Linked DNA regions of Arabidopsis thaliana. The protein of the gene in region 1 purifies or fractionates together with the protein of each later gene. This does not show direct contact. Each region holds a gene or a part of one and is shown in the gene's direction. Other genes may lie near its edges. The genes, in order: AG, CHR17, VSP1 and REF6.

What was found.
Region 2: the proteins of AG (region 1) and CHR17 purify together in Arabidopsis thaliana (affinity purification with mass spectrometry, with the first as the bait; one study listed by BioGRID). This does not show direct contact.
Region 3: the proteins of AG (region 1) and VSP1 purify together in Arabidopsis thaliana (co-purification; one study listed by BioGRID). This does not show direct contact.
Region 4: the proteins of AG (region 1) and REF6 purify together in Arabidopsis thaliana (affinity purification with mass spectrometry, with the first as the bait; one study listed by BioGRID). This does not show direct contact.

What each region holds. Positions count from the first base shown.
Region 1 is NC_003075.7:10,381,230-10,388,885, forward strand, and holds AG (K-box region and MADS-box transcription factor family protein), read left to right. Parts: upstream 1-1,626; 5' UTR 1,627-2,451; intron 2,452-2,682; 5' UTR 2,683-2,687; coding exon of another isoform or gene 2,688-2,811; coding exon 2,812-2,917; intron 2,918-5,752; coding exon 5,753-5,842; intron 5,843-5,916; coding exon of another isoform or gene 5,917-5,924; coding exon 5,925-5,998; intron 5,999-6,100; coding exon 6,101-6,162; intron 6,163-6,249; coding exon 6,250-6,349; intron 6,350-6,435; coding exon 6,436-6,477; intron 6,478-6,561; coding exon 6,562-6,603; coding exon of another isoform or gene 6,604-6,636; exon of another isoform or gene 6,637-6,733; coding exon 6,734-6,930; intron 6,931-7,039; coding exon 7,040-7,043; 3' UTR 7,044-7,310; downstream 7,311-7,656. Other genes in the region: AT4G18970 (GDSL-like Lipase/Acylhydrolase superfamily protein), read right to left, coding at 7,646-7,656. UniProt on the Arabidopsis thaliana protein: Probable transcription factor involved in the control of organ identity during the early development of flowers. Is required for normal development of stamens and carpels in the wild-type flower.
Region 2 is NC_003076.8:6,196,159-6,203,855, reverse strand, and holds the start of CHR17 (chromatin remodeling factor17), read left to right. Parts: upstream 1-1,689; 5' UTR 1,690-1,797; coding exon 1,798-2,010; intron 2,011-2,294; coding exon 2,295-2,426; intron 2,427-2,503; coding exon 2,504-2,610; intron 2,611-2,702; coding exon 2,703-2,815; intron 2,816-3,036; coding exon 3,037-3,134; intron 3,135-3,226; coding exon 3,227-3,406; intron 3,407-3,489; coding exon 3,490-3,711; intron 3,712-3,921; coding exon 3,922-4,056; intron 4,057-4,125; coding exon 4,126-4,408; intron 4,409-4,490; coding exon 4,491-4,564; intron 4,565-4,675; coding exon 4,676-4,896; intron 4,897-4,972; coding exon 4,973-5,060; intron 5,061-5,136; coding exon 5,137-5,230; intron 5,231-5,313; coding exon 5,314-5,502; intron 5,503-5,592; coding exon 5,593-5,627; intron 5,628-5,742; coding exon 5,743-5,819; intron 5,820-5,915; coding exon 5,916-6,005; intron 6,006-6,103; coding exon 6,104-6,173; intron 6,174-6,267; coding exon 6,268-6,322; intron 6,323-6,394; and 12 more. Other genes in the region: AT5G18630 (alpha/beta-Hydrolases superfamily protein), read right to left, coding at 63-128, 361-440, 819-891. UniProt on the Arabidopsis thaliana protein: Possesses intrinsic ATP-dependent nucleosome-remodeling activity. Constitutes the catalytic subunit of several complexes capable of forming ordered nucleosome arrays on chromatin. Involved in the formation of nucleosome distribution patterns.
Region 3 is NC_003076.8:8,507,072-8,511,043, reverse strand, and holds VSP1 (vegetative storage protein 1), read left to right. Parts: upstream 1-1,842; 5' UTR 1,843-2,154; coding exon 2,155-2,579; intron 2,580-2,788; coding exon 2,789-3,001; intron 3,002-3,066; coding exon of another isoform or gene 3,067-3,086; coding exon 3,087-3,261; 3' UTR 3,262-3,454; downstream 3,455-3,972. UniProt on the Arabidopsis thaliana protein: May function as somatic storage protein during early seedling development.
Region 4 is NC_003074.8:17,933,314-17,941,262, forward strand, and holds REF6 (relative of early flowering 6), read left to right. Parts: upstream 1-1,942; 5' UTR 1,943-2,295; coding exon 2,296-3,175; intron 3,176-3,374; coding exon 3,375-3,453; intron 3,454-3,584; coding exon 3,585-3,652; intron 3,653-3,733; exon of another isoform or gene 3,734-3,757; coding exon 3,758-3,908; intron 3,909-3,990; coding exon 3,991-4,613; intron 4,614-4,683; coding exon 4,684-5,175; intron 5,176-5,272; coding exon 5,273-5,655; intron 5,656-5,736; coding exon 5,737-7,143; 3' UTR 7,144-7,479; downstream 7,480-7,949. Other genes in the region: AT3G48425 (DNAse I-like superfamily protein), read left to right, coding at 1-37, 146-224, 543-604, 717-803, 902-1,005, 1,095-1,180. UniProt on the Arabidopsis thaliana protein: Histone demethylase that demethylates 'Lys-27' (H3K27me) of histone H3, thus acting as a positive regulator of gene expression. Demethylates both tri- (H3K27me3) and di-methylated (H3K27me2) H3K27me.

The sequences.
Region 1 (7,656 bases):
ATAGGTTTCTCTTATCTCTATCAAATTACCTTAAATGGGTTCATAAAGATGGAGATCAAAGACTACACATCACATGCTACTCTCCCTCTTCTTTTGGCATAACCTTACTCCATTTATACATTGTGCTCCTCAATTATTCAACATTTTTTAAAAATAACTTATTTAACAAAATGTTAGAAAATATCTACCCAATTTTTTTCTTCCACATACGAGCTACAAAGATCTTTATCAAATAAAACAAGAAAGATTATTAATCCATATTTTGGGTTAAATTTTAATCCATTTAGCCAATTAGGAGAACTATTTTAACAGTTAGATACTTTTCAACAAAATTTATTAAGTAGTCACCTATGTATATTCATATAGTAGTTTCACAAACAATATGGAGAGCTGTGATCTTGAAGAGGGCGACAAAAGTCAAAAAGAAAATGTAAAAAAAGAGAGAGAGATTAAAGTAGTTGGAGAAGAGAGAAAAGTCTGGTTACCTTCTAATTGAGTCAGAAGCATTACACTTAAATAACTTTCCAAATTAAGCCCTACGTCTTGTCCAGCCCCTTAAAAGTACGCTTCATCTCCCTATTTCCCCTATAAACCCTAAAACCCTATTTATCTTATTAATTTATCATTTTTTTTATATGTCAATATCACAACAAGTAAACATCATCAACTTCAAATCTCACTAACATAAATAGTATGCTAATTTTCTTCACTATCTGAGTAATTTTCTCCTTCTTTTTACATCATTCGATTCTATATTTGCCACACCATTAAATAGATAAGTATATTGGTTCTTACTACTAATAATCAGTTTAGCCATATATCTAATTACACAGTTTTCTTTTATATGTTACTTTATATTTGTACACCATCAGTTACTATATACGGAATAAATTACACCTCATCATGTAATTACAATATTATCATAAATTTTTTGAAATTCTATTCTTTAATATTTTCAGTATCCAGAATCCATTTTCTTATATTTATTCTGGCAAAATAATGTAAAATGGTATCAAATATACAACACCATATATTTGTTTATAAATAACTTCCTTAATTAGTGAAACAAATTTTCCTGCAGAATGTCACTTAAATCTTTAAAACAATTCACAAAAGAAAAGGGAATAGAGCTGAAATTTTTTCCTCTTTAAAAAGATCAAGATTTAGTAAAAACTAGAAACAAAGAAGAAGATCGATATTTGTTGTAACAAAAAAATGTACTGATCAGATTTACCCAAAGATTTTAGTGCCTCAAAAACTTTCACATGAAAAGCAAAGACAAGTAATGGTAAGTAGAGTCTGCATCTCATGAGTGATTGCCCAACTTGAACCCTCTTTTCATTTAGACCTTTGTGAAAGACCACACAAGAACTACCCACCAATAACTCTCTCTTTTTTTCTTCATTTCCAAAAACTATTTATTCATTTCTACAATTTCTCAATTTGGGGGTGTCCTTAATAAGTATTATATTTATGAAAAGTCCGGATGTATGGTGGGTGTTATTTATGGTAATTAACACTATTTATTAATAATATTTTTCATGTGATTTCAAAAGCTGATGTACTCATGCTTTGTGAACCTTTAGATTGCTCTATGTCAATCTTTTATTTTAACCTATCATATGTCTAAATGTACTGAAAAGAAACACCAGTTTAATTAATTATACTTCCCTCATATATAACTATCAACCAAGTACAAAACTTTTGTCAATTCTCAAAATCAACTTTCACCACATAATTATCTAACATGTGTATGTTCCAAAACCAGTTTAAATAGAATTACTTTTCAGAAAATACATGTATATTAACTCTATCTAATAAAGAAGAAACACATACTTATCTCATAGATTCCATTCATAAAACTATGCTTTAGTGAGTAAGAAAACCAGTAATCAAACACAAATTGACAAGACACTATATGGATGTAAAAAGTGGGGAAAAATGGTGATAAATAGTAGAGAAAATTAAAAAGAAAAAAAATATTCCTTTATAAATGTATATACCCATCTCTTCACCAGCACAACCTTACCTTCCATTTTCTGCAACTTCTCCAAATCTCATACTTTCCAGAAAATCATTTTCCCAAGAAAAATAAAACTTTCCCCTTTGTTCTTCTCCCCCCAACAGGTCAGGCTAGTATTTTGTTGTTCCCCAATCCTTTCAAACATTATCTTCTTCATAATATTACTTTGCTTCACTTCTTTTGGTCCTTAAACCAAATTTTTGTTCTTCTTTAGTTTCCTTTTTTCCCGTTTTGATTTGATTCTTTTTATGTTATTTAGAGAGAAACAAGATTCACAAATTCTCTGATCTTCTTTAACTCTTTAAAACTTTTCTTTTTCACACTCTAGATTTAAATTATCCCTATGGTTACAAAACAATTTTGTTCTTAGTTTATAACTTGTGTATTACCATCCTTTCTTGATTAACTCTTGTTAGGAGAATATGAATGTAAGATCAATAAAGTTCTTCAACTTTATAATTCCTTCTATAAGATGTGTGTCGGCAACAGAATTAAATTAAATCTTTATAGTTTAACTTTAATCTCAACCATAATTCAAAAGAATAGAAAACATGAAGAATCTTGAGTCTTTTCAAGAAAATCTTGATTGGTTTTTTGTTGGATTCTTGTAATTCTGTACTAATCAAATTTTGCCCTAAACGTTTTTGGCTTTGGAGCAGCAATCACGGCGTACCAATCGGAGCTAGGAGGAGATTCCTCTCCCTTGAGGAAATCTGGGAGAGGAAAGATCGAAATCAAACGGATCGAGAACACAACGAATCGTCAAGTCACTTTTTGCAAACGTAGAAATGGTTTGCTCAAGAAAGCTTACGAGCTCTCTGTTCTTTGTGATGCTGAAGTCGCACTCATCGTCTTCTCTAGCCGTGGTCGTCTCTATGAGTACTCTAACAACAGGTTTCTTCTTCTTCTCGTGCTCTGTTCTTACTTTATTAATAATTAAATTATTTTTAAAGTCCGATTTAGGGTTTTATGTTTATGTTAAAGCATAAATCTTTTACGAGGGTTTTCGATCTTCTAAGCTAGATTTGATTCTCTTCTTCTTGAATGCTCTTATGGGTAGGATTATTTTTCACTTTTTTCCTTCATATTCCACACACATATATATATAAACACACTAACATTAGTGGGAATATTTGTTTGATATGTTTATTTTATTTACTTCGGGGGTTTTTGTAACAATTTTGTAGATCTAATTTCTTGTTCTTCATGTGTATATTAATTTTCCCTTAAGACTTAAATAAAAAGAGAGAATTTGTTATATATAGATATATGAAGTGAGGGAAATGGTACAAAGTTAAAGGAGATCTGAGTGAGAGTTAGATAATAAATGAAAAGAAATAAGAAACCATCAGGGTTTTTTCTAATGTGGAGTTTTAGATTCAGTTTTGTAGAACTAAGATTCACTTTGTTGGGTGTTCTTTCTTCACTCATTTCTGTTATTATAATAATAATAAAATCTTATATCTTTCTATTTTCCTTACTAACAAGTACTTGAAGATTTAGATATATTTATAGATCTGGTGTTGTAATAGGTAAAAACTTGATTTTTATGACTATAAAAGTAAGTTTTGGGAAACAAATTGGGGAGAGAGTAAGGAAGGACTATGAGGTCATATCTTCTGTTTTGTGATCATCCATCCTCCATTGTTGTTAATGTCTGTGTCTCTCTTTTTCTTCTCTTCTTTCTCTTACTTTCCTTTCTTATCTCTAGCTCTCTTTCTCTCTCATGAATTATATCATATCATATATTTGATACAAACACATGTGATGGTAAGTGAGAGTGAATAAGGTGAAACTAGCTAGATTTTTGAGTTTTCATGAAATTTTAACTTATATGAGTGATAGAAAATAATGGAACTTATACGTACATGTAGGACAATTTAGATGGTTATCTAAGTTTTTGTTTTTGTTTTCTCTTGAGAATGTTAAATGTTAGTGTTATTTTTGTAGTTTTGGAAAATTATATATGAGCTAAGATTAGTTTAGAAGTGGTCAAAAGAAACATAGATTTGAAATTTCAACTGAATTTTCAAGATTTCAAATAGTCAATGAAACAAGGAGGTAATTAAGACAAATTAGCTTATGGGGACTCTTTTTTGTTATTCCTTAAAATTACTCTTTTTAAAATTAAAAATAACTAATCTCATTTCGAACTACATTACTCAAACTAGTAATCTCTAATTCGACACGCAATTTCCAAATACTTATTAGTAGAGAGTCCCACGTGATTACTTTCTTCTCCACCAAAACATAAAACATGTCAAGATTAAATGGTGTTTGAAAATTAAAAGATCAATTTTCTTAATCGTTTACAGTTGTCAACTCTCATGTCCTGAAATATATAATTCTCATGTCCAAAACAAGAAAAGCTAACAACGACTTCAAATTAAATCAGTCAATCAAAATTAGTCTTCATTTACCTACTAATTTCTTTTTATATATCCGATGGGTACTCTACGAAATCAGAGTTTCGTTTCTTTATTTATTTTCTTTTATAAGATTTTTGAGGTTTTTTCAGAGGTTGGAATTGAGCGCAAGATTAGGTTTTGGGTCTGTAAGATTTGTTGTCTTTGTTAAAGAATCTTTGATCACGTCATCACTCAGATATTATTTCTTTTTATTTTTCACTTGTATTTTTACTAATTTATTATAAAGTTTTGTTAGTTTCAGTTCTTGACTTCTGACAAGAAGGTTTTATGTCATAATGAATTAATTTGTAACCTATTTATAAATTCAAAAATGTCATCATATTACTACTTTTGACCATTTAATATTAGATTTCTCATTTGGTCAATACCCAATGTTCATATTACATATATAGAGACAAAAATTATAAGGATACTAAATTGTTCATATTTCTTGGAAGTAAAAAGATTAATGATCACTGAATAAATAGATTTGGCATAGAAGTATAGCATTGGAATTGCTTCAACATCTTTGGTGTAGATAGATTTATGCAATTTCTCTTTCTTTTTGAAGTATCTTTTTTTTTTCTAGAGAGAGAATAATGTTAGGGATTTTTATCATTTTCTCTCTCATTATGGGTACTGAGAGGAAAGTGAGATTTTTAGTACGGATCCAATAGTTTAAGAGTTTGGTCTGCCTTCTACGATCCAAAAAAATCTACGGTCATGATCTCTCCATCGAGAAGGTTGAGAGTTCAGACATCAAAGTCTATAATATGTCATTGTAATACGTATTTGTGTATATATATCTATGTACAAGTACATATACAGGAAACTCAAGAAAAAAGAATAAATGGTAAATTTAATTATATTCCAAATAAGGAAAGTATGGAACGTTGTGATGTTACTCGGACAAGTCATTTAGTTACATCCATCACGTTTAAATTTAATCCAATGGTTACAATTTTAATACTATCAAATGTCTATTGGATTTATACCCAATGTGTTAATGGGTTGTTGACACATGTCACATGTCTGAAACCCTAGACATGTTCAGACCAATCATGTCACTCTAATTTTGCCAGCATGGCAGTTGGCAGCCAATCACTAGCTCGATAAATTTAAGGTTTCAGAGGAATTTTAATTTATTTAGGGTTCATATTGTTTCATAAAATGATTCTTTATTTGTTACAACTTTAAGGAAATATTTTATTAACTATTTAATTGTTCCCTTTTCTTATATTACTTTTGTTTTTTCTTCACATCATGTGTCACATTAAGTTGCATTTCTTCTGACTCAAAAGAACCGATGTTTGCTTTTAAGGTTTCGTATTAGAATCACTTAACTGTGCAAGTGGTCGATTTGACCCTATCAATTTTATTTTTTATTACTTATCAAAATGCAGATTTAAGCGTAGATTAAGTTTAGAAAATAGGTAGTTAATAGGTCTAATTAACTTATTAATTCCTTTAAAAAAATTATTGCAGTGTAAAAGGGACTATTGAGAGGTACAAGAAGGCAATATCGGACAATTCTAACACCGGATCGGTGGCAGAAATTAATGCACAGGTAAGTGGTAACTTAATATTACACGAATGATTTTAATTAATATATGATGACATGACAACATTGTTCATTCTTTTACTCTTTTTTTTTTTGTTGTTGTTGTAGTATTATCAACAAGAATCAGCCAAATTGCGTCAACAAATAATCAGCATACAAAACTCCAACAGGTTAATTATCTAACTGACTTGAAATATTTGATTACTTGGTTGTTATTAACTATTTGATATATTAACATATGTTGATAAATCAATTAGGCAATTGATGGGTGAGACGATAGGGTCAATGTCTCCCAAAGAGCTCAGGAACTTGGAAGGCAGATTAGAGAGAAGTATTACCCGAATCCGATCCAAGAAGGTAATTCTATTTTTTTTATAAATGCTTCAATATAATATCAAATTAAATCTATATGCCTTGTTGCTAATTTTTGTTTAATTTTACAGAATGAGCTCTTATTTTCTGAAATCGACTACATGCAGAAAAGAGTAAGAAATAAATCTTAACTTAATTTCTATTCTTAATATGTTCTTATAATAATTTTGCTCATTTGCATTGCACCGATTAAGCAGGAAGTTGATTTGCATAACGATAACCAGATTCTTCGTGCAAAGGTAAAAGTACACATTATATATCAATTTCTATAATTTTCCCTATTGTTTCAATAAATATTATATGAAAACGATTAAAATGGTGAAAGTACTTGTAGATAAATAGTTTATGACATATATTTGTGTAATGTAGATAGCTGAAAATGAGAGGAACAATCCGAGTATAAGTCTAATGCCAGGAGGATCTAACTACGAGCAGCTTATGCCACCACCTCAAACGCAATCTCAACCGTTTGATTCACGGAATTATTTCCAAGTCGCGGCATTGCAACCTAACAATCACCATTACTCATCCGCGGGTCGCCAAGACCAAACCGCTCTCCAGTTAGTGTAAGGACACAAAATCTTGCTCCGATCAATCATTCTAGTCTTATATTATTAATCGGTCCATTTTGTAAAACTTGACAGCATGGATTTGGTCTTTTATGCTGTTTTGTAGGTAATATAGGCTGAAGGAAATGGCCGGGAGTGAATAAAAACCAGAATTGGGTTGAGCAAGCAATATAAAGCTAATGCATGTTATATATATATTTATCCCATGAATGTTGTATCAGTGAATTTTATGCTTATGTTGATGTGAAATTAATATCTTAAAGACATGTCATTAATGTGCTTAATTTGCTTCAAAACATCTATGTGTATAAGTGTACTATTAGTTCAATTGTTGTATTTAATTACCAATTCCTGCTCTATTAATGATTTTATTATAGAAAAGTCTCAATATGATAATGATATATATTCATGTGCTGAGTTCCATCCTCCTCCTCCTTCTCCCCATGTGGTACAGTTGCAAAATGTCGAAACATTCGTTCATTTTGTAGCTGCCTACCAGGAATACATTCACCACCCGGTCTCAATATCTCGCGTCTTGCTCGGTGAAAACACATACAAGAGTATTAACCATATTTTCTTTAAATGCACATACAATAGCTTATCTCTGCCTAGCTTCATTTCGTAAACCAAGAGCAAACATTATCGGATGGCTCCATACCTGTTCTCAATAAATCATGGTCATAATCAAGCTCATTTTCCTAGCCTCCGGTTACTAGATTTTGT
Region 2 (7,697 bases), on another chromosome or scaffold:
TCAACTCAATAATTGCGGCTTCAAAGTTCAAACAGTGATCTGCTTCAACATGTGTTTTTTACCTTTGTCAAACCATTGCATCTTTCGCACGTCCAAGTGAAGAGTTTTGTCAAATCAGACTCATAGACCTGCATACATCTTACAAACTTGATTCACTCATCTTATGTACGTTATCAGCATCATCTCTTTTCTCTAGTAGTGCAAATAATGATAAATGAAAATATGAAGAGGACAAGTGTAATTTCTTCTCACTTGCAGAACACTAGATATAAATGACATTCGTTCTACAGGGTATTACGTTTTGAAGCTAAATCATTATCAAAGGTCTTTTACTACTTCACTAATCTGCCATTAACTTACCGCAGAGGCATACTCCACAAGCGTGACGGCAAGCGTATGGTTGTAAACAGGTCGATCATCATCGCTCTTCAACTTGAGAACTGCAGTTAGAAGAAAGAAGCTAACATAAATCCACTTGCTTCAGTCTTAACTCCTTCGTAGCCTCACAACTCATACCAAGAACATGAAATTGTCGAAAACATAAAGCTTTGAAATCAATATTTTGACCTTCATGGTTCCTTATGTATATGATGATGCTACAAGGATTATGAATTGATTTGTTCCAAACATGATAGAACATGTAATTAGGCCTTAATGAAAAATCACTGTAGCCAGATTAAATTTCCAATTTCCCAAGCACTTCACATTACACAGAAAGTTTAAAATCTTAATTAAGCTCAGAGAGACTCAGGAGAATAAAAAAACTGGAAGTCCCAATAAAGGAAACAGACATAGAATCATTATAGAAGTTGCATTACCACCTCTACCATATGAAGATGAAACAAGAAAAGTAAAAACTGCCAGCAAGAACAACAATCTCTTTTGTCCCATGTTCTGCAAGAAGACAATAAACACAACCACATCATCCTCTGTTCATCAACCAATGTTAAGGGCAAAATTGAGCTAAAACAAAGCAGAATTCGGAAGCAAATTAGCCAAAAATATACCTTATAAAACGAGACTCACGAAACCCAAACTAATGAGGATTAGGACAAAACCCGAAAGAGATTTCAGCAACCAAAAGTCCCAGATAAATTAAACTGAGGATCCAAAGCCTAAATTGGACTTCTTTTACAACAATTCGGAAATTTCCGACGATGATCGGAGATTATTCCCGGCAAGAAAATTATACGGCGAGCTTATATATTATTATATAGAAGTCGTGATCTTGCGAAACAGAAGCTAATAGAAGAAAAGAAACGGCGATTAAAATACGAATATTCGGTTTTTTTTTTCTTAACTTCCACTTTCATCCTCTATACGCAAAGGTGCATGAGACAAGCGTGTAGGCTCTTTCAAAGGGTATTATTGGAATTTTAGGTGTGTAGCGTGTCGCAACTTCAAGTGCTGAGGTGTCAGATACGTGATTCGGGCGGATAAATGGATAAGGCCGTTCCGTTATAAGAACGAGAAGTTGACCTTTTTGACTTTCGCTTTCTTCTAAGTTTAACTTCGAGCCCATGGGCCTTTAAAGCCCGAATTCCAAGGCGGGAATTTCCGAAACTCTTACTTCTCAAGTGGCGGGAGAATCTTTATAAGTCAAGCCAACGTGGCACATCTCAGCCGTAGATTTGATTTCTCGAAATCAACGGGGTAAAATAGAAGCTACGGTCGTTTCAAACGTCGGGTTTGTTGCTTTTAATTTCACTTTTGTTTATTTACTAACCAAAGCAAAAAAAACTCAGGAACCCTCGATTCGATCTCTCAGACGAAATCAGGATTCGTAGAGGCGCGTCGATGGCTAGAGCTTCGAAGCGGGAAGTTTCTTCAGACGAGGCTTACTCGTCGGAGGAAGAGGAGCAAGTTAACGATCAGGCCAATGTGGAAGAAGATGATGACGAGCTCGAGGCCGTCGCTCGCTCTGCGGGCTCTGACGAGGAAGATGTTGCGCCCGACGAAGCACCTGTCTCTGACGACGAGGTTGTCCCCGTAGAAGATGACGCTGAAGAGGTATGTCTTCGTTTCTGTTTTCCACTCTTCGATTTACATTCGCATGTCGGCTGTGAATTCGGGGATTGCTGTATTTGGAAATCTGAATGTATTCTAAGTAAGATTAGGGTTTCCTTTGAGCGTATATTCGATATTTGGGTGTCTTTTGGTTTCGACTCTCTTTGTTTGAAGGTTTATGCTTAGAAGTGCTTACAATGATGGGTGGTCGCTCATTATGATGGTACATTCATGTGACTCGTGAGGATATTTGGTCACTCTTTTCATAATTTGATGGTTATATGTAGGACGAAGAAGACGAGGAGAAAGCTGAGATCAGCAAACGTGAGAAGGCTAGACTCAAAGAAATGCAGAAGATGAAGAAGCAGAAAATTCAGCAAATCTTAGACTCCCAAAATGCTTCCATAGATGCTGATATGGTAAGTTAGTAAATAACTGAGCTGCTTGTCTTTAGTATCCAGAGGTATTGAAATAACTCAATCATTCCATTTATTAGAACAATAAAGGAAAGGGGAGGATAAAGTATCTTCTGCAGCAAACTGAGTTATTTGCACATTTTGCTAAAAGTGACCCGTCTCCGTCCCAGAAGAAGGGAAAAGGAAGGTGTGTTGAGTGCAACTTATCTCAAAATAAATTGTGGTTATTCATATTAAGTTTCCAGAAATATAATTTATTGGGTTTCACTTTATCGTCAGGGGTCGCCATTCTTCCAAACTAACCGAGGAAGAGGAAGATGAAGAGTGTTTAAAAGAAGAAGAGGGTGGTATAGTTGGATCTGGAGGCACACGGTTGCTCACTCAGCCCGCTTGTAAGTACCTTTGTTTTGCTCCTAATATCTTGATATAGCGTATGTTTGCTCAAGTCCTATTGCGAGTCGAAGTTATTATAGGATTTGACACCTTATGCCCACTTCTTTGATTGGTAGAGTTGTTTGATATATTCTTCAGTTGCGAGCTCACAATTTCTAGGTAGGACTGCATAAATTCTGTAGAATTTAGAGATCTGATCTTCATACTCTTCATATTGCAGGTATTCAGGGGAAGTTAAGAGATTACCAATTAGCTGGTTTAAACTGGCTCATTCGGCTGTATGAGAACGGCATAAATGGGATTCTTGCAGATGAAATGGTAAACCACTAATTATCTTAGCATATAATAAGATTTTTCAGCTCTCTAATGTTATCTGATGCTAATCTTTATTGTTTTTGTTCATGGTCTAGGGTCTGGGGAAGACGCTTCAAACCATTTCTTTGTTGGCTTACCTGCATGAGTACAGGGGAATTAATGGCCCTCATATGGTAGTTGCTCCAAAATCAACCCTTGGTAACTGGATGAATGAAATTCGCCGATTTTGTCCTGTCCTGCGTGCTGTGAAATTTCTCGGTAATCCCGAGGAAAGAGTAAGTCATAATAGCTCTTACATTTGAATGGTTGCATTTATATGCACCTGGCAGGATTCTGAGATATATTTTAAATAATGCAGAGACATATTCGTGAAGAACTGCTAGTTGCAGGGAAATTCGACATTTGTGTAACAAGCTTTGAGATGGCTATCAAAGAGAAGACAACATTGCGCCGTTTTAGCTGGCGATATATAATCATTGATGAAGCACATCGAATTAAAAATGAGAATTCACTCCTTTCGAAAACCATGAGACTTTTCAGCACCAACTATCGGCTTCTTATCACGGGAACCCCCCTTCAGGTACTTGTCAAATCTTTTGATCTATAATTGTTTAGATCCTTCAATTTTTCTGTCAGATTGCTTCTGCCTATGTTGAAACTACTTTCTTGCTTGAGTCTGTTGAACTTAGTTTTTTTTTCTTTTCGTGTTCCTTAGACATGCTTCTTACTATCTTCTGTACTTGATTTGCTTGAGTTAATATTGTATTCATTTCATATGTTTCTACTACAGAATAATCTCCATGAATTGTGGGCCCTTCTCAATTTTCTTCTCCCTGAGGTTTTTAGTTCAGCAGAAACTTTTGACGAGTGGTTTCAAATTTCTGGTGAAAACGACCAGCAAGAAGTTGTTCAACAACTTCACAAGGTATGTACTCATATTTTATCAAGGTTATTCTCTAAGTTCTTATGCTAATCATTTACCTCATCTTTGTAGGTTCTGCGACCATTTCTTCTTCGGAGGTTAAAATCAGATGTAGAGAAAGGCTTACCTCCAAAAAAGGAGACAATACTCAAAGTTGGCATGTCTCAAATGCAAAAACAGTACTACAAGGCTTTACTGCAGAAGGATCTTGAAGTGGTTAATGGTGGTGGAGAACGCAAACGTCTGTTGAACATAGCAATGCAATTGCGGAAATGCTGCAATCACCCTTATCTCTTCCAGGGTGCGGAGCCTGGTCCCCCATATACTACAGGAGATCACCTTGTAACAAACGCAGGTAAGATTTACATTACAAGTAGATCATTCAGAAATGTGGCAATTGGCTTAGTTATTTTCTCTTTACATGTTCTTGTTTCTAGGTAAGATGGTTCTCTTAGATAAATTGCTACCTAAGTTGAAGGATCGAGATTCAAGGGTTCTGATATTTTCTCAGGTATTCATTAACGCAAACAAATAATTGTTCCTATCTTTGATTCCTTTTTTCTGAGTGATATCTTTCTTGGTTCTTTGTGCTTATTCCAACGATTTTGCTCATCTGTATCAGATGACAAGGCTTTTGGATATTCTCGAGGATTACCTAATGTATCGTGGTTACCAGTACTGCCGTATTGATGGAAATACTGGTGGTGACGAACGAGATGCTTCCATAGAAGCCTATAACAAGCCAGGAAGTGAGAAATTCGTTTTCTTGTTATCCACTAGAGCTGGAGGACTTGGTATCAATCTTGCTACTGCAGATGTTGTGATCCTCTATGATAGTGACTGGTAAGGCTCTTTTTGTGTCCATTGTAATTTATGAGTGTTTTCTTTTATGCCTAATGAGGTGGGTGGATTATGGCAGGAACCCTCAAGTTGACTTGCAAGCTCAGGATCGTGCACATAGGATTGGTCAAAAAAAAGAAGTTCAAGTGTTCCGGTTCTGCACCGAGGTTACTCTTGTACCCATGTGTATGAAGTAAGAATGACCTGGAGAACTTGAACTAATTCTGCATTGGTCTTATGCAGAATGCTATTGAGGCTAAAGTCATTGAGAGAGCTTACAAGAAGTTGGCACTTGATGCTCTGGTTATTCAGCAAGGGAGATTGGCAGAACAGAAAAGTAAGTGCTTGTGTACTGAGGCTGTTAGATGTATTGGATTTTCTCTTACATATATATACTGATTTCTTTTCTTTGCTTTCCAGCTGTTAATAAGGATGAGTTGCTTCAAATGGTGAGATATGGTGCTGAAATGGTGTTTAGTTCTAAAGATAGCACAATTACGGATGAGGATATTGACAGAATCATTGCCAAAGGAGAAGAGGCAACGGCTGAACTTGATGCCAAGATGAAGAAATTTACTGAAGATGCAATACAGTTTAAAATGGATGACAGTAAGTGTGCTATTTATCCCTTTTTCCAATGGTAACTCCCTTGCATGGGTAATGGGATGTCCAAACAAGATAGTTTTTGGTTTGTTGCAGGTGCTGACTTTTATGATTTTGACGATGACAACAAGGTATTCTTGGATAATTAATTGAATGATTGAAGGAAAGGTTTAACGCATACTGTGGTTATGCTCTGCAGTTTTTCGAATATCGTTTCCTGATTTCTTTTTTAATTTTGTTTGGTAGGATGAGAGCAAGGTGGATTTTAAAAAGATTGTGAGTGAAAATTGGAATGATCCACCAAAAAGAGAGAGAAAGCGCAAGTAAATATTACTTCTACTTTTTCATTACGTGGTCTATCCTGTCTTCCTAAACAATATCTAACTTCAACAATTTACTTTTCTCTACCCACCCTTTAGCTACTCTGAAGTTGAATACTTCAAGCAAACGTTGCGACAAGGTGCTCCAGCTAAACCTAAAGAGCCTAGAATTCCACGCATGCCCCAATTGTGAGTACCTCAATTGTCTCCACTCTGCATTTAGCCTTTTCCCTGTCTTATTTATAGTACTTTTATCGTAAAAATCTAATTTCTTGTCCATCCTGCAGGCATGATTTTCAGTTCTTTAACATTCAGAGGCTGACTGAGCTGTATGAAAAAGAAGTGCGATACCTTATGGTGGGAATAACAAGTTTATCAACATGTTATGTAATTTATGCAGCTTTTGTGTCTGATTAGTTCTGAATAGCAATTTGTTTCACTCTGGTTTCAGCAAGCACATCAGAAAACTCAAATGAAAGACACAATTGAGGTTGATGAACCTGAAGGTCTTTCTCAGTCTTTGCCCTCTTTTCTTACATTATTTTACTGAATCTATTACTTAAGAAATAATTTTGCAGAAGTTGGAGATCCCTTAACTGCTGAAGAAGTGGAAGAAAAGGAGCTATTGCTGGAAGAGGCAAGCCAAACCATTCGACCTTACTGTGGGTTGACATTTGTTTTTGATGGTTTTTTTATAATTTAATGGAGTTGATATTTTTTAGGGTTTCTCAACATGGAGCAGAAGAGACTTCAATGCCTTCATTAGGGCTTGTGAGAAGTATGGCCGGAACGACATAAAGAGTATTGCCTCTGAGATGGAAGGGAAAACTGAGGAAGAGGTTGAACGATATGCTCAAGTTTTCCAAGTGCGATATAAAGAGCTGAATGGTTAGTAACTTTAGATTGTTAAGTAAAGTTAATGAGTGTTTGCAGTGCGACAAAGTTGGATATTTATCCTAAGTAAGCTCTGCCTCTTGTTTTCCTTTGTAAAAATTGTAGATTACGACAGAATCATCAAGAATATTGAGAGAGGGGAAGCAAGAATCTCTAGGAAAGATGAAATCATGAAAGCTATTGGGAAGAAACTGGATCGCTACAGAAACCCGTGGCTGGAACTGAAGATTCAATATGGTCAGAACAAAGGGAAGCTGTACAATGAAGAGTGCGACCGTTTCATGGTATGACATCTATTTATCAAACTCTTTGTTGAGATTTCATTGTTATTGTTTTATTCTAATATGATATTGACCCGATGAACTTGTGATTATCAGATATGCATGGTCCATAAACTTGGGTATGGAAACTGGGATGAGCTAAAGGCAGCGTTTCGGACATCCCCCTTGTTTAGGTTTGACTGGTTTGTAAAATCCCGCACAACTCAGGAACTTGCAAGGAGATGTGACACACTAATCAGGTTGATTGAGAAAGAGAATCAAGAATTTGATGAGAGAGAGAGGCAAGCCCGAAAAGAGAAGAAGCTTTCAAAGGTGAGGACTTGAAGGAACATTTTTTTTTTTTTGTGCGAAGAACATTTTAAGTTTACATTTTCATTTACTGATGAGATGCTGTGGAATTGTTTCTCATGATCTGTTCTACAACTTGTTTCAGAGTGCAACGCCATCAAAACGACCTTCGGGTAGGCAAGCAAATGAGAGCCCTTCATCTCTTCTGAAGAAACGAAAGCAGCTGTCAATGGATGATTATGTGAGCTCGGTACTCAAAATCATTTCCAAAACATAAAAAGAGTTTTTCATTTTACTGGTTAATTCATGCAAAGCAGACAGACCATCTATTTCTGATCCTAACTAAAAAAAAACTTTATGTCTCTGCAGGGAAAGCGTAGGAAATAAGAAGGCTTGTGTTGAATCCATCACTAAGTAA
Region 3 (3,972 bases), on another chromosome or scaffold:
TCTTAGAAAAAAAATGTCATCAAAGGTTATATCATATATAATTCATTAGTCAACTGATATTAACCATTAAAAGATTTCTATCAAGTAAATACCGGAACTTAACAAAAGTAATTAGTAAGCTAGTGATAGAGAGGTCTCAATAATTGTTGACATAGAAAAAAAGAGGGCTCGCAAATTAGTAAGCTAAAATTCATTTTTATCCGTTTAGTAAGCTAAATTAGTTAAAGAAACAGAACCAGACCGTCAAGACGTGTGATGAAGCAATGCGTTTTATTATGGAAACAACATTAACTTTGGAATGCGACATGCAATATGCACGTATCTTTCTTTTGGAGTCATTTGAATCGTGTGTGTGTGTGTGTAGCTATGTATGTAATTATTGAGTACTTACGCAACTTAAATTTCGTATGGGACTTTTAGTGATAAATATACAGTATACCATTTTTCACGTTTAATGTCACATAATTTTTTACATTTACAATATTCATAAAGTTTCCATGCATTCATTTTTTTCGAACAATTCCGCTATGTATGTTAGACGTTACATATGCAAGTAAAAGAAACAAAATATAAATAATATACGAAAAATCTCTTCATTTTAAACGTTACCGCAACTAGATCATTCGACTATTTCAGTATTTCAATATTCCACTAAGAAATCTATAATACCAATTTTGACCGGTGTGATTTACACGTTTCACATGGCGAACATTTATCTTCGTGACACAATCTTCTATCATCTTTTGAAGATTGACTGAGTAAATATTGTTCGCGCGCTGGTGTACTCATTTAGTATTAGAGGTGACAAATTCTCTTGCAACAAGTTTTCTGCAAAACAAATTATTGGAAAAGAGTCTCATGACTAAATTATTCCCAAAATGTTTTCGGTTTCAGCTTGATGAAGAGGAAGACGTAATTGTTGAATTTGCTTATCCTTTGTTGCCTCCAAAATGTTCTCGTTGTGGTAAATGGGGTCATCTAGGGGATGTGTGCGTGATTAAACCTCAGTCTCCAATGAAAGAAAAAGCAATAGTAGTAGAGGAAGGTGAGATTGTGTCTGTTGATTCTGCAAACATAATTCAGACTATTCCAGATACTAAGACTGTCAACAAAGTTAAAGCTGTAGAAGAATATAAGAATTCATAGTAGTTGGTAGCACAGAAATTCTTAGAGTTGACTAAATTATAGTATAAATAGTTATCCATTAGTTCTCATAGAAACAAGAAAACTTAAATTTATGTCGTTGCAAAACCTTGCTTTGTTTTTGTTTAGTTTTCTTGTTAATCGGGTGAATTCTTGAGTCCATTTTAATCTCCATGGTCTATAGAAATTCATGTTTTCTGGTCATGCAAGACGTTTACCGATCGCCAAACATTTTAAAAAATAGTTGAAGAAAATCAAGCTTTAACCTAAAATCAACATAAGAACTCCAAATTTTAAGCGGAAGCTGCTACTACCCCACCACAACTTGATTTGCAACACTTTGCCTTAATATATATAAATTCTTTAAGCTATTTTAAATAGATCTCACGAGGTTGTATGCCTTAGAAAAAATAATTATATTGTTGGAAGAACGTACAATTATCGTTGAAACTATAATTATCGTTGTACAGTACACCCATCTTTTCTCGCTCATTGCGGAAGCTGTTGCCAATTACTCGTTTATACACATCACGTTTTGCATTATTGTTTTTGTCAACTACTCTATCAATTATTTATCAAAGAAATAAAAACTTTACTCTATAAATTATTTCCGCAAACTCAAGTTATACACGCAAACATCATCATGTCCACGTACATTTTTCTACTAATGTGGAATAATAACTTCACAGTAATTGAAACCCTGATCCAAAATCAACAAGCACAAAAGCGAACGATAATAATAGAACTTAAACAACGACACGCCAAATTCTAATTTAGCACAGTCTCAACGTGCTCTAAAAACGAGTGGTGTAAGTGAAAATATCTCGTTGGTTACAAGCATAATGGGACCAACAAGCATTTGCATCACTCGAAGCCATACGTACACTTATCTCCGCATTTTCCCATCGGTCTTCATAAGTAATCATACCTAACCCACCTCATTATATAATACCACCCTTTGTGTCACACAAATAAACACCATAAACTAAACAATAAACCATACAAAAAAATATGAAAATCCTCTCACTTTCACTACTCTTGCTCTTGGCCGCTACGGTCTCCCACGTCCAGTCTTCGGCATCCGTTCCAGGGCTCATCGAACTCCTCGAATCGAACACCATCTTTGGGAACGAAGCCGAACTCTTAGAGAAAGAGGGACTGTCCATCAACTACCCCAACTGCAGAAGCTGGCACCTTGGTGTTGAGACCTCTAACATCATAAACTTCGACACGGTGCCCGCAAATTGCAAAGCCTATGTTGAAGACTACTTGATCACTTCCAAACAGTACCAATACGACTCCAAAACTGTAAACAAAGAGGCATATTTTTACGCCAAAGGACTTGCCCTAAAGAACGATACCGTCAATGTTTGGATCTTTGACCTAGACGACACTCTCCTCTCTAGTATTCCCTACTACGCTAAATATGGATATGGGTATATACATATTATTGTACCTATCTACATTGAATTAATAATATTATCGTCATATAGTTTTTTTGAAAATGTTTAGCTGTCATATATGGAAAGACACGTTTCATTTGACAACTTTAAATATTTTAACTAACCCATCTAACTGTTTTTTTGGGTCCATATCTACTTTGTGATTTCATTCTAATGTAGATTTTTTTTTGTTGGATTCTTAGGACCGAGAACACAGCCCCGGGGGCGTACTGGTCGTGGTTAGAGTCCGGAGAATCAACTCCAGGACTCCCGGAGACCTTGCATCTATACGAAAACCTCTTGGAACTCGGGATTGAACCCATCATAATCTCTGACAGATGGAAAAAATTGTCAGAAGTCACTGTCGAGAATCTCAAGGCTGTTGGTGTAACAAAATGGAAGCATCTCATACTCAAGTAAGAATTAATCAAGTAGCTTAGTTATATATAGCAAATAATGTCATATGTGATTGAATATCGAGGACTATATATGGAAACGCAGGCCAAACGGATCGAAGTTGACGCAAGTGGTGTACAAGTCAAAGGTTAGGAATAGCCTTGTGAAGAAAGGGTACAACATCGTTGGGAATATTGGAGACCAATGGGCTGATTTGGTTGAGGATACTCCTGGAAGGGTTTTTAAGCTCCCAAATCCACTCTACTACGTACCTTCTTAATTAAGCATCTATCTTCATGGCATTGTCCCCTTGTATCCATTTCATATCTATGTCGTTTCGTTTATCTTTGTAGCCGTTTTGGCACCACTGCTTAAATAAAATGCCAATCCTATCATAACTCAATAAGTACAACGACTTCGTACTAAATTTTGTTTTTCGTTAAAGGGATCATTAATCAAGTTTCCATGAAATGATATCTCCATGTAAATATAACAGTTAACACAACACTATACCAATCTCTTTAATCATGTATAGAGTATAGACTATCATTTTCTATGAATATCTTCTCACCATTTACGTTAAGCTGGTAGTGGTATAACACTCATTCCTTTACGTTATATGATGAAACCAATGTTTAAACCGACTAATCCTTAGGATTGATATTAGTTGGGAACACATCATCTTAATATGATTCGAGTTTTAACTACATTCCCTTTAGAGTGATTAAAGTATATGTTGTTTGGTAATATAGTTTTTTTTTTCTTTGACATCAGATGTTTGGTCAATAGTTTTTATGAAATAAAAACATAAACTTTTGTCGTTGCAACTTTTTTTTTTTGTTGTTAACCAGGGTACTTTCAGACCGAATAATTTAAATAGTTGAAGAATTTTAATCCCTAAACTATACGCACATGAAGACTTCATATTTCAAATGGAAACTACTATTCTACCACTACAAGAATATAGGCTCTTTCCGACGGACGAAATCGT
Region 4 (7,949 bases), on another chromosome or scaffold:
ATAAACCGCTAATATGGTGTGGCGACTTAAATGTCAGGTAATGAGGAAGTTTTTTCTATATCTTCTCTTGCTATACTCTTTTCCTTAAGCCCTTACAGAATAAAAGTTGATGTTATTTCCTCGATTCGATTTTTGTAATACGCAGTCATGAGGAGATAGATGTTAGCCACCCAGAATTTTTTGCTACAGCAAAGCTTAATGGTTATGTTCCTCCAAACAAAGAGGTAAGGAATACCATATTTTGTACGATTTATTCATTATCATTATAGCTTTTATCTAAAAACAGAGCTGGCTCTCAATAATGTTATTTTCCGTCGGCCTTTTATATCTCTTCCTATCTTGTCTCTTCATCTGCATTGTGACCCTGCTATTGTTGATGACTTTACTACGCCTGTATTTCTCTTCCTATCTTGTCTCTTCATCTGCATTGTGACCCTGCTATTGTTGATGACTTTACTACGCCTGAACCGAAAGGTTCTCCGTGAGATGGACCTTTAAATCATACAATGACTACAGTGGTTTTGAGTTTTTTGATTATGCAGGACTGCGGACAGCCTGGATTTACACCATCTGAGAGAGGACGCTTCGGGGCAACTATAAAAGAGTATGCGTAATATGTCTTTGCACTGCGAAGTCTTAGTAGTAGTACTTTCTAGAATACAGATTAGAGTTACTAAACATGTGATTATAAATTATATTTATGGGAACTGTTACAGAGGAAGGCTTGTTGATGCATACCGGTATCTACACAAGGAGCAAGAAATGGAAAGTGGCTTCTCATGGTCGGGGAATCCCATTGGAAAGTGAGTGGATACTACACATTTTAGTTTTATGGCTTGGAGTCCAGAACCTCCGCATGTTTCTAAAGCTATATATTGATTTTTTGTTTTGGTTGCCATAGGTACCGGGGAAAGAGGATGAGGATCGACTATTTTCTGGTCTCTGAACAACTCAAAGACCGTATAGTTTCTTGTAAGATGCACGGTCGTGGGATAGAACTTGAAGGTGCCATAGATAAACCTGTTCATCACACAGATTCATAGAAGATTATTATTAGCTCTTTTTGCAACAATTTGGTTCTTGATTTGTTTCAGGTTTCCATGGGAGTGATCATTGTCCGGTTACACTCGAGCTTTCGAAGCCATCTTCAGAAATGGAACAGAACCAGGTGTCAAACTAAAATCATCTTCTTCTGTATTAGAACATAAGGCCTTCTTAGGAACAAGCCAAAGCTTATTTTATCAGAGAATTTAATTTTTACTTTGCCGAGAGATGCATTGAAGATTTGATTGAGGTTATTGAGACACTTATTTAGCCTTGTTACTCTGATGAACTCTCAAATGTACTTATAATTATTGTTGTGCTTATCTTAATATGTTTTATTTTCCTAAGAAATGTTGATATTTTTAATTGTGAATCTTCTTCATTTAATTATTTTTATTTATTAACTTTTGAGTCATTTCTAAAGATTTAGAGCTTTTGTTGGTGTATTTTAAGCATATTATACCCTTTGCTTTATTGTCTTAGTCAGTAGGTAGAGGCAACATTCGTTAAACCAATGGCTCATTCAAATTCTTTTTTTTGGGCTCATTCATATTCATAAAAATCAAATTTGGATTCAGCATAACAAACACAATAATATATGTAGACATTTATATCATACATTAATTTCTACTAATTTCATGAACTACCAAAGACTAAAAATGTTTAATGAGAAATATCTTTTTTAAAACCATCAAAAATTTTACTCTTAAAATTGGGATTTATGTTTGGTTTTAAAAAGGAGTTTTTGAATGTGCAAACGGATTTACAGAGAGGACAACAACAAATGTGTGTTAGAAATGGCAGAATCGTAAATAATAAGAAAATCATACCCTTTTAAAAACCATTTCTCTCTCTAACTAAGTGTTCTTTACTTGTTTTAATACAGAGATATCACAATCTCTTGCTCTGCCCAAACCCATCCCAACCCCCTAAAAAAAATACAATTTTTTCCTCTGTTTCTTTAATCCAATAAAAACAGAGAGACCTAAGAAACGAGATCAACAAAGCCCGTCGTTTTTTTCGAGGAAAAGTGAATGACCCTTTAAGAAAATAACTCTATTGGCCGGAGAAATGGTGGAGACTCGTCGATTCTCTTAAAGTTTGTTTTTTTTTCCTCTCTTCAAAATTTTTGTTCTGTTTATACTCTGTAATGGCGTTTTAATTTGATACCTAGAAGTTAAAGTGAACAAATTTTGAGAGAAAGTCTCTTTTTTTTGTTCTTCCCTGTGTGTGTGAGAGAGAGAGAGAGATATGGCGGTTTCAGAGCAGAGTCAAGATGTGTTTCCATGGCTTAAATCGTTACCGGTTGCTCCAGAGTTCAGACCTACTCTAGCAGAGTTTCAAGATCCGATCGCTTACATTTTGAAGATTGAAGAAGAAGCTTCTAGATATGGAATCTGTAAAATTCTGCCTCCACTGCCTCCTCCTTCCAAAAAAACCTCGATTTCTAATCTCAACCGTTCTCTGGCGGCAAGAGCGGCGGCGAGGGTTCGTGACGGCGGCTTTGGCGCGTGTGATTATGACGGTGGTCCCACATTCGCCACGCGCCAGCAGCAGATCGGGTTTTGCCCTAGGAAACAGCGTCCAGTGCAGAGACCTGTGTGGCAGAGTGGAGAGGAGTACTCTTTTGGTGAGTTCGAGTTTAAAGCTAAGAACTTTGAGAAGAATTATCTCAAGAAATGTGGTAAAAAGAGTCAACTCTCTGCCCTTGAAATTGAAACACTTTACTGGAGAGCCACTGTGGATAAACCCTTCTCTGTTGAGTATGCCAATGACATGCCTGGCTCGGCTTTTATCCCTCTGAGTCTGGCTGCTGCGAGGAGGAGAGAGTCTGGTGGTGAAGGAGGAACAGTTGGTGAGACCGCTTGGAACATGAGGGCAATGTCTAGAGCCGAAGGATCATTGCTTAAGTTCATGAAGGAAGAGATCCCTGGAGTTACATCACCAATGGTGTATGTTGCTATGATGTTTAGTTGGTTTGCTTGGCATGTGGAGGACCATGACCTTCATAGTCTCAATTACTTGCATATGGGTGCTGGTAAGACTTGGTACGGTGTGCCAAAGGATGCTGCTCTGGCTTTTGAGGAGGTTGTTAGGGTTCATGGTTACGGTGAAGAGCTCAATCCTCTTGGTGAGTATGATAAGTGTTATGTGTTAGTGACTCATAGTTACTCAATGTATCAATTCATTGTTCTGATTGTTGGCTTTGTTGTGTCTCTGTTCTTTTTGTTGCTTTTAAATGCTTTTCTTTCCCTCCAAAAGTTGTCAGGGGTAGAAGCTGTATGCAAGCAAACTAATTGGTTATGCCTCTTACGTTCTTGTCTTATTAGTGACATTTTCTACTCTTGGTGAGAAGACAACTGTGATGTCTCCTGAAGTATTTGTTAAAGCCGGAATACCGTGTTGCAGGTAATGGTTTTTTATGTTTGTGCTCTGTTTATCTCATCATCTTGTTGTTTGCATGTCTCTTCTTTGGTCTCTTATAATTGGCACACTTTTTCTTCTTCTGGTTTTTCACGCAAGTGGTTTTTTTGTATCAGGTTAGTGCAAAATCCTGGAGAGTTTGTCGTCACCTTTCCGGGAGCTTATCATTCGGGATTTAGTCATGGTGAGTAAGCGACCTATATTTAGTATCTTTAAGTCAACCATTCAAAGGCCTAGTATGTTGAAATAACTTATATTATCCATAAAAACAATCGTGGGGGTTGTACAGGATTTAATTTTGGAGAAGCATCTAACATTGCCACTCCCGAATGGTTGAGAATGGCTAAAGATGCTGCTATCCGGCGAGCTGCTATAAATTACCCTCCAATGGTTTCTCATCTCCAGCTACTTTATGACTTTGTATTGGCTCTAGGTTCTAGGTACTCTTTCTTTTCTATAGACACACTCAAACTTTTTAAGCTGCTTGAAGGGCTCATATAAGGTATGTTTCACTCATTGCAGAGTGCCAACAAGCATCAATCCCAAACCACGGAGTTCTAGATTAAAAGATAAGGCAAGAAGCGAAGGAGAAAGATTGACCAAAAAGCTATTTGTGCAAAACATTATCCACAACAACGAATTGCTTTCTTCTCTCGGAAAAGGATCCCCAGTGGCCCTTCTCCCACAGAGTTCCTCAGATATATCAGTTTGTTCTGACCTGCGAATTGGATCCCATTTGATAACCAACCAGGAAAACCCAATCCAGTTAAAGTGTGAGGACTTAAGTTCTGATAGTGTTGTGGTTGATCTCAGTAACGGTTTAAAGGATACAGTTTCAGTGAAAGAAAAATTTACATCTTTATGTGAAAGGAGCAGAAATCACCTAGCAAGCACGGAGAAGGACACTCAAGAAACTCTGTCTGATGCTGAAAGGAGGAAGAATGATGCAGCTGTTGCGCTTTCGGATCAAAGGCTTTTCTCTTGTGTTACATGTGGAGTCTTAAGCTTTGATTGTGTAGCTATCGTTCAACCTAAAGAAGCAGCTGCTAGATATCTCATGTCTGCAGATTGTAGCTTCTTCAATGATTGGACAGCTGCTTCTGGATCTGCAAATCTTGGTCAGGCTGCAAGATCACTTCATCCTCGTAAGTTACAGGTCGCACTTTCGGTTATTGGCTGTTATTTAGCATTTACTAACTTTTTTTCATCATGCAGAAAGCAAAGAGAAGCATGATGTAAATTACTTCTACAATGTTCCTGTTCAAACTATGGATCATTCAGTGAAGACTGGCGATCAAAAAACTTCAACAACTTCCCCGACAATAGCGCATAAAGATAATGATGTTCTTGGGATGTTAGCTTCAGCATATGGAGACTCTTCTGATTCCGAGGAAGAAGATCAAAAAGGCTTAGTTACCCCTAGTTCCAAAGGGGAAACAAAAACGTATGATCAAGAAGGTTCAGATGGCCATGAGGAGGCTAGAGATGGTAGAACTTCTGATTTTAACTGCCAGAGACTAACCAGCGAACAGAATGGGTTAAGCAAAGGCGGAAAATCATCACTTCTGGAAATAGCTTTACCATTTATTCCAAGATCTGATGACGATTCATGTCGGTTGCACGTGTTTTGTCTTGAGCATGCTGCGGAAGTGGAACAGCAACTTCGTCCTTTTGGGGGGATTAACTTAATGTTACTGTGCCATCCAGGTAACATCAAAACTACAAGATTCATTTTATTAGTATTTCTGTATCAGTTATGCAATTCTTTAGTCTTTTTCATCATTTTGACGCACAACATTTGCAGAGTACCCCAGGATAGAGGCTGAAGCAAAGATAGTTGCCGAAGAGCTCGTCATCAATCACGAATGGAATGATACTGAATTCAGGAATGTGACCCGAGAGGATGAGGAAACGATTCAGGCAGCGTTGGATAATGTTGAAGCTAAGGGTGGGAACAGTGATTGGACCGTAAAATTGGGTGTTAACCTTTCTTACAGCGCTATTCTCAGTCGCTCTCCTCTGTACAGTAAGCAGATGCCGTATAACTCCATCATATACAAGGCGTTCGGTCGCAGCTCTCCAGTAGCGAGCTCACCCTCGAAACCCAAAGTCTCTGGTAAAAGATCGTCCAGACAGAGGAAATATGTTGTTGGAAAATGGTGTGGTAAGGTTTGGATGTCACATCAGGTACTATTGTCTAACCTGAATCCATACTAATTCAGACATTAGTACACTTCTGTTTGGTTCAATTTGCTTTTCTTTCTTCAGGTGCATCCCTTTTTGCTGGAGCAGGACTTAGAGGGGGAAGAATCTGAAAGAAGTTGTCATCTTCGAGTTGCTATGGATGAGGATGCCACTGGAAAGAGATCGTTTCCTAATAATGTTTCCAGGGATTCGACAACAATGTTTGGAAGAAAGTATTGTAGGAAGAGAAAGATAAGAGCAAAGGCGGTGCCACGCAAGAAGCTTACTTCTTTTAAGAGGGAAGATGGAGTTTCTGATGACACATCAGAAGATCATTCTTATAAGCAGCAATGGAGGGCTTCCGGGAATGAGGAAGAGTCTTATTTTGAGACAGGGAACACAGCTTCTGGTGATTCATCAAATCAAATGTCTGATCCGCACAAGGGAATTATCAGACATAAAGGTTATAAAGAATTTGAGTCAGATGATGAGGTTTCAGACCGTTCACTTGGGGAAGAGTATACTGTACGGGCATGTGCAGCTTCAGAGAGCTCAATGGAGAATGGCTCTCAGCATTCAATGTATGACCATGATGATGATGATGATGATATCGACAGGCAGCCTAGGGGGATTCCAAGGAGCCAACAGACAAGAGTTTTTAGGAATCCAGTTTCATATGAGTCAGAAGATAATGGCGTTTATCAGCAAAGCGGAAGAATATCCATAAGTAATAGGCAAGCTAATCGAATGGTTGGTGAATATGATTCAGCAGAGAATTCTTTGGAGGAACGAGGCTTTTGCAGTACAGGGAAAAGGCAAACCAGGTCAACAGCCAAACGAATAGCAAAAACCAAGACAGTTCAGAGTTCGAGAGACACAAAAGGTCGCTTTTTGCAAGAATTTGCATCTGGAAAGAAGAATGAAGAATTGGATTCATACATGGAGGGACCTAGCACACGGCTTAGGGTGAGACATCAGAAGCCGTCGAGAGGGTCTTTAGAAACAAAACCAAAGAAGATTGGTAAGAAGAGAAGTGGTAATGCTTCCTTCTCCAGAGTTGCAACTGAAAAAGATGTGGAGGAAAAAGAAGAAGAAGAAGAAGAAGAAGAGAATGAGGAAGAGGAATGTGCAGCATACCAATGTAACATGGAGGGTTGCACGATGAGTTTCAGTTCGGAAAAACAGTTGATGTTACACAAAAGAAACATATGCCCAATTAAAGGCTGTGGTAAAAACTTCTTCTCACACAAGTATTTGGTTCAACACCAGCGTGTTCACTCAGACGACCGTCCTCTGAAATGTCCATGGAAGGGATGTAAGATGACGTTCAAGTGGGCTTGGTCTAGAACCGAGCACATAAGGGTTCACACAGGCGCTAGGCCTTATGTTTGCGCTGAACCGGATTGTGGTCAAACATTCAGGTTTGTCTCTGACTTCAGCCGGCATAAAAGGAAGACCGGTCATTCGGTTAAGAAGACCAACAAAAGGTGATTTAGGCTCTAACATGGAATCTATCATGAAGAAGATTACTCCATTGATCTATTAGAAGAAAATTGGATTGTACGAATATTAGGGGTTTTCTAAGTGTGTATGTCTCTCTGGTCCTCTGTCAATTCGGGATTATAAAGTCAAAGTCTTAACATTTGGAATAGCCATTGTTTGTTGCAGACGTTTTCACTTTCAGACAGATTCTCTCTTTGTTGTATTCTCTATTTTTGCAGTTGAATGAATCTGTAACAACAACAAATCCTGGTGTAGGAAAAGCATTGTGTTACTCAAGTATTTGACATATATGGTTGTATACGTGGCTTATCCTGGTTGGTTGACAGTCAGAGTTCATCGCCGTGGACTTCATTTGACTTTGATAAAGACTCAAACCTACCAAATTGCTAATGAATGACATTACCTGTGTCAACTAGGATGTAAAACTCTCTGACTTCAGCACACGGCACAAACGAAAGACCAAATGACTTAACATTTGGAATTGCCATTGTTTGTTGCATAAAGATTCATCTCTTTGTTGTGTTCTCTCTCGTCTTCTTCAGTTAGTCTATAATAACAATCCTGGTGTAGAGAGAGACTTTGATTTGATAAATAAAGGAGCTGCTTGTACAATTAAAAGCTATGTTGCATAATTATGAAATATCAAAATACGATAAGGACTTAGTTGCAATTCTCAAAGAAATATCTGAAACGCATAATTTTAAGTTAAAAAAGTGTGCATGAAATGTGAACTATTGGACCTTGTCAACAAATTAAAGCAACGGTTTCTTTGAGATTCTCATTCGTGACGCTAT